Linked DNA regions of Danio rerio. The protein of the gene in region 1 interacts with the protein of each later gene in a biochemical or structural test. Links are inferred from orthologs where the notes say so. Each region holds a gene or a part of one and is shown on either strand. Other genes may lie near its edges.

Evidence for each region. The genes of interacting proteins can lie anywhere in the genome.
Region 2: of the proteins of ptpn11b (region 1) and cdc73, one has a biochemical effect on the other in vitro, tested with the Homo sapiens proteins (2 studies listed by BioGRID and IntAct). The link is inferred for Danio rerio from reciprocal best matches to the Homo sapiens genes PTPN11 and CDC73.

Annotation. Positions count from the first base shown.
Region 1 is NC_133198.1:26,921,107-26,924,606, forward strand, and holds part of ptpn11b (tyrosine-protein phosphatase non-receptor type 11b), read left to right. Parts: coding exon 1-53; intron 54-168; coding exon 169-248; intron 249-386; coding exon 387-542; intron 543-1,948; coding exon 1,949-2,080; intron 2,081-2,765; coding exon 2,766-2,920; intron 2,921-3,500. UniProt on the Homo sapiens protein: Acts downstream of various receptor and cytoplasmic protein tyrosine kinases to participate in the signal transduction from the cell surface to the nucleus. Positively regulates MAPK signal transduction pathway. Dephosphorylates GAB1, ARHGAP35 and EGFR.
Region 2 is NC_133177.1:12,374,017-12,378,273, reverse strand, and holds the start of cdc73 (parafibromin), read right to left. Parts: upstream 2,801-4,257; 5' UTR 2,790-2,800; coding exon 2,659-2,789; intron 1-2,658.

The DNA of each region.
Region 1 (3,500 bases):
GGGGCAGAGACCAGAAAATAAAAACAAGAACAGATATAAGAATATACTACCATGTGAGTAACGTGCTGTATTTTTCTGGTTTCTTAATGGGAGAGGCATGTTTCATAATGCAACGGTTAATCTCCAGGGCTCTTGTTCATGCTTTGATCATCATTTTCTGGGTTGCAGTTGACACCACTCGAGTGCAGATCAAGGAAGCGGATCCTGATGTTCCCGGATCCGATTACATCAACGCTAACTATATCCGAGTAAGACCCCGCTTCGCTCGTAATGATTACACGTCAATCTGAATGTCAAGCTTTTGCTGGGTTGTTGAGCTGTGATCAATAAGTTTAGAGATTGCATGTTCTTTTTATCCTTATTGATTTTGTTCTTTTTTCATTTAGAGCGTGAATGAAGAAGGACGTCATATGGATGAAGGTAAAGTGTTCATCGCTACTCAGGGCTGCCTTCAGAACACAGTCCTGGACTTCTGGAAAATGGTTTATCAGGAAAATACACATGTTATTGTCATGACAACCAAGGAGATGGAGAGAGGACGGGTAAGGTCCAGGATGAAAATATTGTACATTCATTCATTCATTCATTCATTCATTCATTCATTCATTCGATCGTTCATTAATACATTTATATTTATATTATATTATATTATATTATATTATATTATATTATATTATATTATATTATATTATATTATATTATATTATTTTATATTATATTATATTATATTATATTATATTATATTATATTATTTTATTTTATTTTTTGTCATATTATGTTATATTGTTTGTCATGGGATACATAGAATATAAGAAAATAAACAATTTGTTATAAAAAAAAATATTTTTTATGCTCTTAATTATATTTCCTTAATTATTTGTGATAATAAAAGTAATTTATATTTTTGGGGGGAGAAATTCATTCAGAATTCATATCAGTTTTAAATACACTGACCATAAAACTGCTAAATGATGACAATCTTGATTCAATTACCCATACAATTATATATTCCAGCCACAATGATTTGGTTTTATTTATTAAACATCTGACGAGTGCAATCCCAGTTGGCATAAAATTATGAAACAGCGTCAGTCTTTGGTCTCTTCAACCTTATGGTATGATTATTAGTCAAATTATTGCAGAAGTATTGGGATTAAAGTTTTGATGTAACCACTATTGAATATTGCACAGCAAAATAGACATTCATATTTTTTAAAGTAACACTATTTTATAAATAATGTTTATCAATTACAGTGTTACGCCAAAAGGTGGTGATAAGTTACTATTAAAAATGCATTTGTCATTGACTTATTTATTCAAGAGAGTCATTCAAAAGGGCTGATTCATCCAGTAATGAAACAAGTGAGGTCTATATAAGCCAGTGATTAAATCAACCTTTCAAACCGATGGGAATTAATTAAATTAACATTGTGTCCAAATCTCTAGTATATTACATGTCATTTTGTTGAAGTCCACCAAAAAAATTAAGTTTCCTCCTTATTTACTCGTACTTAATTGATTATGAACTTTAATGAATTTCTTTTTTTCTGTTAAACACAAAGCAAGATATTATGAAGAATTTTGCAAAAAAGCAACCATTGACATCTATAGTAGGAACAAAAAACACTATGAAAGTCAATTGTTGTGTTTTCCAACATTTTTTATTATAGATTCTCTTGTGTTCATCAGAAAAATGGAGGATGACTAAATAATGGCAAAATTAAAATTTTGGGATCTATTTGGGAACTTTTTAACTTTTCCTTTAATTTGTCAATTCAGAATCGTGGATGAAACATGATTATTATTTTGAACAAAAATGTGATTCTTCTTATATACCAAAAATTTCTAATGCATAATTTGAGAAAATTGAGAATCCACTAATGTTGTATAGCTAAATAGACAACACAGATTTTTTTTTGGGAACTAAACATTGAACTTCTCCCTATAGAATAAATGTGTGCGGTACTGGCCAGACTTGAATTCAACAAAGGAGTTTGGGAAGGTGTGTGTGAAGAACATTGAGGAACACACAGCTCAGGACTACATACGGCGAGAGCTTGAAGTCACACGTCTAGACAGGGTAAGAGCAATGCGATGACAGATGACATGCTGCAGCCAGAGGCAGTTCATAACCTTTGACCTTGTTGTTTACAGTAGCAGCTTGGAGAGAATCTTCTCACTTACTTCAAACCTGTATTACTTTACATTACTAATCTAGGTTGGATGTAGTTTTTCTCATTTTGTAAATTATCATTTGATGTTTCTTTTTTTTTTTTTTTTGTAATTCACTCAGGACTTACTCATTCATATTCATTGAAAGGGGAAGAGAAACCTATTTGTGACCTGTGTACGAATATTTAGACCATAAAACATGTTTTAATAGAAGGTACTGTATATTTTCAAGTTATATTAGAGAACGTTTTTTTAAGGGAAACTTTTAAAAAGATGTCTCCTTTTTCTATTTTACCCTATTTATCATTGGTCAAAATGAAAGAACTCTCATGACTTTTAATCAGTGTGATATCTATATGTTTTTATATAATGCATGTTTGTTTAGAAACAGTTATGATTGTAAATTATAAACTTAATATTCAATTCCAATGTTGACATAGACATACTGCTGATATGGCATAAATAAATAAATAAATAAATACATACATACATATATACATACATATATACATACATACATACATACATACATACATACATACATACATACATACATACATACATGCATACATAAATACTTTTTGTAATTACAGAGAGAGCCTCCCAGGTGTATCTGGCACTATCAGTACCTGAGTTGGCCTGATCACGGTGTTCCAAATGAACCTGGAGGAGTGTTGAGCTTCCTGGAGCAAGTGAACCGAACCCAGAGCGCCATTCCAGAGAGCGGACCCATAGTGGTTCACTGCAGGTACTACACAGCTCACACGTTCTACTTAGATTTATTTAATTATTTTGCTAAATGTGGTCTTAAAGGCACAGTTCTCCCCCCTTCCCCCATAAAAAAATCCAATACTTATTCCCTGTGATGTCCTTCAAATGCTATATGCTATTTATGCTATTAGTTTCTTTTGCCAAACACAAAAAGAGAATTCTAATGAAAAGTCCATTCATTCATTTATTCATTTTCTGAAAACTCCATTCATTCATTTGCCTTAAAAATGTAGCTATTTTAAAAACCCATTAGTTTATTTAAAGGTCATACTCAAATAAACACTAGAATAGATGTTTTTTCTGATGTAATTAAATCTAAATTATGCTTCAAACATTTGATTTTAAAACACTATCAATGACTGAAAACCAAAAAATACAAAAAAAAAATCTTTAGATTCTTATTCACTCTGTCACTTCCGTCATTGGTATTTATTTTCAGCTGTCTGCTGCACTATATGTTCACCTTTGTGGTCGGTCTAGCCGGCGCAATAGCCACATTAGTAATAGCACATACTAGGAAGGTGGGTATCAGGGTTGCCAGGTTTTTGCAATAAAAC
Region 2 (4,257 bases), on another chromosome or scaffold:
TCGATTTAAGATTCTAAGTTTCACGGTATTGTCATTACTGCTCTAATATGTTTTTTTTTAAATGTCTGGGTAAAAAAAAAACCCAAGTCCCCTTTGACACATTTATTTGGAGCAGTAAACAGGTCAGTCTTAATTCTTTAAATGAAGTTAAAATCTTGACTTTTCCAAACCATCGTATACCTTGAAAACGGTTATCGTGAAATGATTAACCCAAACACTGTTTATCACAAATAACACAACAACTTCACAAAAACATGCAAGGAGGAAGAACAGTTGACCCGACTGTGTACATAAATTATCACTACAACAAACAAACACACACAAAACAAATTTATGGTGGCAAGTTACCATGATACAGTACATTAGAACAGTGGTTCTCAACCTTCTTTGCCTGAGACCCCCTTTTCCCTCTGAAAATCATTTAAGCCCCCCCTCCACATTATTATCGCTCATATTAATTTGCAGTAAGTGTGACAAAAAATGTATTCAAACAAATGGTATGTTTACTACAATATCTACATATGTTTATGCACAAATAATAGACTAATGTAAAATATAAAAGCTAAACAACAGTAGGCCATTTGTAACAAAAAAAAAACATAAGTCTTTGCTCCTTGTGATCAAAAAATGCTTTGGGCTTGTCACAGTATTGGGGATGAATGGTCTCATACATTTGTTAGCAAGAACTTTGGCTCAGATAATACACTATGGCTGGGGCAGGGCCTCTTTGCTTCGAGTAAATGGAATAAACCATAGTTCAAGTAACTTATCTTGGTATTTCCTGCATTTCATGTTTCCAGTATTGCTAGCTCTGCGACCCAAAATGTTTGGAGCTTCCTCACCTGGGTCCAGTATTAGCTGCTGAAGGCAAATTAGTGAGACTTTTTTCCAAGGGACAAATTTGTAATTTTGTAAAAAAAAAATTTGTTCGGCAAGGGGATGAAAGGCAACATGATCTCTACTAATCATCCACTGCTATTTTATTTTTTAAAATATGACGTGATGCCCCCAGAGCTTACCAAGGCCCCCTTATTGACCTTATTCTAAAATGCGGAAGTGCGCCTGTTTTCGCGATTGTCTTAGAGCTTCCGTTTCAGTCGCCTATGGGAGAAATGACAAGGAATAATAAACAGCAAAAAAGGTCAAACTACTTGCTCTACAAACAAATGTTTGCATGACTATACAGACCAAGTAGAATAATATAACAAGGAAATATCAGTTTACAACATCAAACAGCGAAACGAGCAGTTTTTAATGTCTAAAAATGAATGGAAGTGAATGAGACCGGAAGTCTCGTGCCAAAAAAATTCAAATGGCAGCGCCCACTCGTCTGCGCAGAATAAGGTCAATAGGGGACCTCCCTGTTGGGAACCGTTGCATTAGAATGTCCAGAATTTGTCCCATAGAGGTGCTCATTTGTATTATTTCGACTACTATGTCATCAAAAATAGTAAAAATAACCCATTGAAAAGGGCTTTAAGAGCAAGCGAAATCCTGGTGTGATTTAAGTAAATCAGTTTTGACAAATGCAAACAATTATTTTTCATGAGTCCAAAACCAGCTGTGCACGAAAACATCTGACATAAAGCAAACTTTCTGCTACTGAATTGTTTTTGAATAGAGAAAACTTTTGACAAGTAACTTTTATTCTAAATATTGGACCTTGTTCATGGAGAAAAAAAAAAACATGACCAATAAAAGTGTAAAGCACTTTATAGAGGTAAAGCTATATTCACACATTTGTTCAATGACAACTTGTGACACTCCCTATATTGTTTACCACAGCACTTTGAATATTCGATCTGAAATAACCTACAAGTATGACTTGAAAACAACATTAACACTGTTTATTTGACTGTGAACAGTGTTGTACTTTGATAGTCATTGGCTGCTAATATGATTTCGCTATTTAGAATTGGCAAACAATACTTTTATGAAATTATATTATTAAGGGGAAAGTCTGAATGTGTAAATATAAAACCAACTTTACCTCTATAAGCACTTTTACAAGAGAGGCTAATAAATTGTTAATTTTTTTTATTATTCAAATGACCAAGAACTGAGGAAAGTTGAATGTGCTGGCCAGTTTGTTATTTGCCTCATAAATTACAATAGGCTAACGTTACAGTTTTTTTCCCTAATGACATATGATGTAATAAGCTTCTATTTAAACAAAATTAACATTTGTTATATTTATTTATAGTAAATATTTTGGAAAAATGTTTGGTACAACAAAGTGTGGTTATGAGGATCATCCGACAAGCTAATTCAGCTAAAATAGTGCTTTAATGTCACTTAAATGCCACCATTTCGTGATTACAAGTAAATGTTCAGGTCAACGTTTTATTAGATTTAAGGATAGATCACTCCAGAAAGCAACGTTGCAACACAAACAAATGAGAAGTTCTTGCGCAGCCTCAGTAAAGACGAACATGTAAACAGCTCAATGTTTTAAGGAGCAGCCAAATTCTTAGTTGCATTATTACCATGTGCATATATCCATCGGCACCTTCTTCCACATGAAACATATTTATCTTTACGTGAGCATTTGTACACAACACGAGTTTCTTCACACGAGTCCATCACTAGCGCATTAGCGGCTAAACCAGCTCGGCTCAAAACAACACGAATAAGTCAACAGAACAAACGCGCACATACCCCCAGATGACATAGTTGGTCTTGACATTTTTAGGCCAGGAGAATTCCCCGAAAATAACTTCATCGCCTTTTGCGACAATCTCCTTTTTCTGGATGTTGTACTGGCGAAGAACACTCAACACGTCCGCCATGATCGCGCCTCCTCATTACGAGTGTTTTATTTAAGACCCCACAACTTCTCAGAACGGGGCTGCTTCGAATAGTGCCTATCTAAAAATGATCAACTCAAATGCTCTTTAATCATAATTGTTGTGCCTCAACTGCGATGAAAACGACATGAAAAGAGTCGACAAAAGGGTTATTCACAGGCGAGCAATAGGTATGTATTTTTAAGCTTTTCAAAAACGTATGCACAGTTCAGGCAAATCTCAGACAGCTAAAGCAAAAATCCTCAGGTACCGATGTCAAGCCATCAACTATATTCATATTTTAGTGTACACAAACTTACTATCCCAACGACATAGCATAATGTTATAAAGTAATTAAGCACATCACCTCAATACAAATACATTATTCTGATTATTCTTTAATAATTATCGTAATTTTAATTTTTTTTTTAAAGAATAACCTCTTCAGTTTTCTACATTTAAATGTAGTGTAATGTGTTATTAAGCGTTTTACACTCCAACATATAAACGGACAAACTTTGGAGTGGATTGCAATCGAGTTACATACAGGGACAAATTTACTAGCATGGCAATATATTTTATTTTGTATTGACAACGTGTAATAACCATCTGAACACAGAATTTCATTATTTGTCACGTTTATTTACCTCATACTTCAAGGTTTCGATTAAATAATATCTAATGTTACACAAACAGAACAAGGGTACATTCAGTATTGTATCTCAAAACTAACAAGCAGTCATTGTCTACGTTTTAGTGTTTGTTAGTTGTGCCTACAATTCATTACATAGATATTATTATCCTAGCAGCGTTAGCAAACTTACAACCTTGATTTGACCTTAAGAGGCACAAAGAACAATAGAAAATGCTAAATAAAAAACATAAAAAACGCTGAACAGAAATGAATCTAGAAGCAAGATCCATTATTAACTTCCTCTATTCAAACATATACCTCTTTTTTTCCTCAATTTTGGAATACATACATATGTAGCATTATTGACTTCGAAAATGTGCCAGAGTAAGCGGTAAAATATTCAGTGAAGTCTCTCTTGAATCATATAAAAGGTTATTTTCACTCATATATCAAGTTACTGGACCACAAAACACTTGAGGTATATCAACATTAAAACTTTACCGACGAGTTTAGTAGTTTAGGCTACATCAATTTCTGAGAGAATCAGATTGCTTGATTTCAATTTCACTGACAAACTGCGAATGCATTTCAGCTCTCAGATTTTGTGGAAGACCTATGGTGCACTTTCAGCTCAATATGTAATAATTCATAACATCGTATTACATAAAGATATTACACGCAATGAACAAGGCCTCTAAAATACAGAACATTGCTTCCAATGAAGGTCAGTGACATGCATGAGCTTTTCAAAAAGAAACATGTAAAAGATGATTACACTCTTTTTGGGAAGAAGCAAATATTTCACAGGACCAGGTTAGAAAATATACAGTATACTGA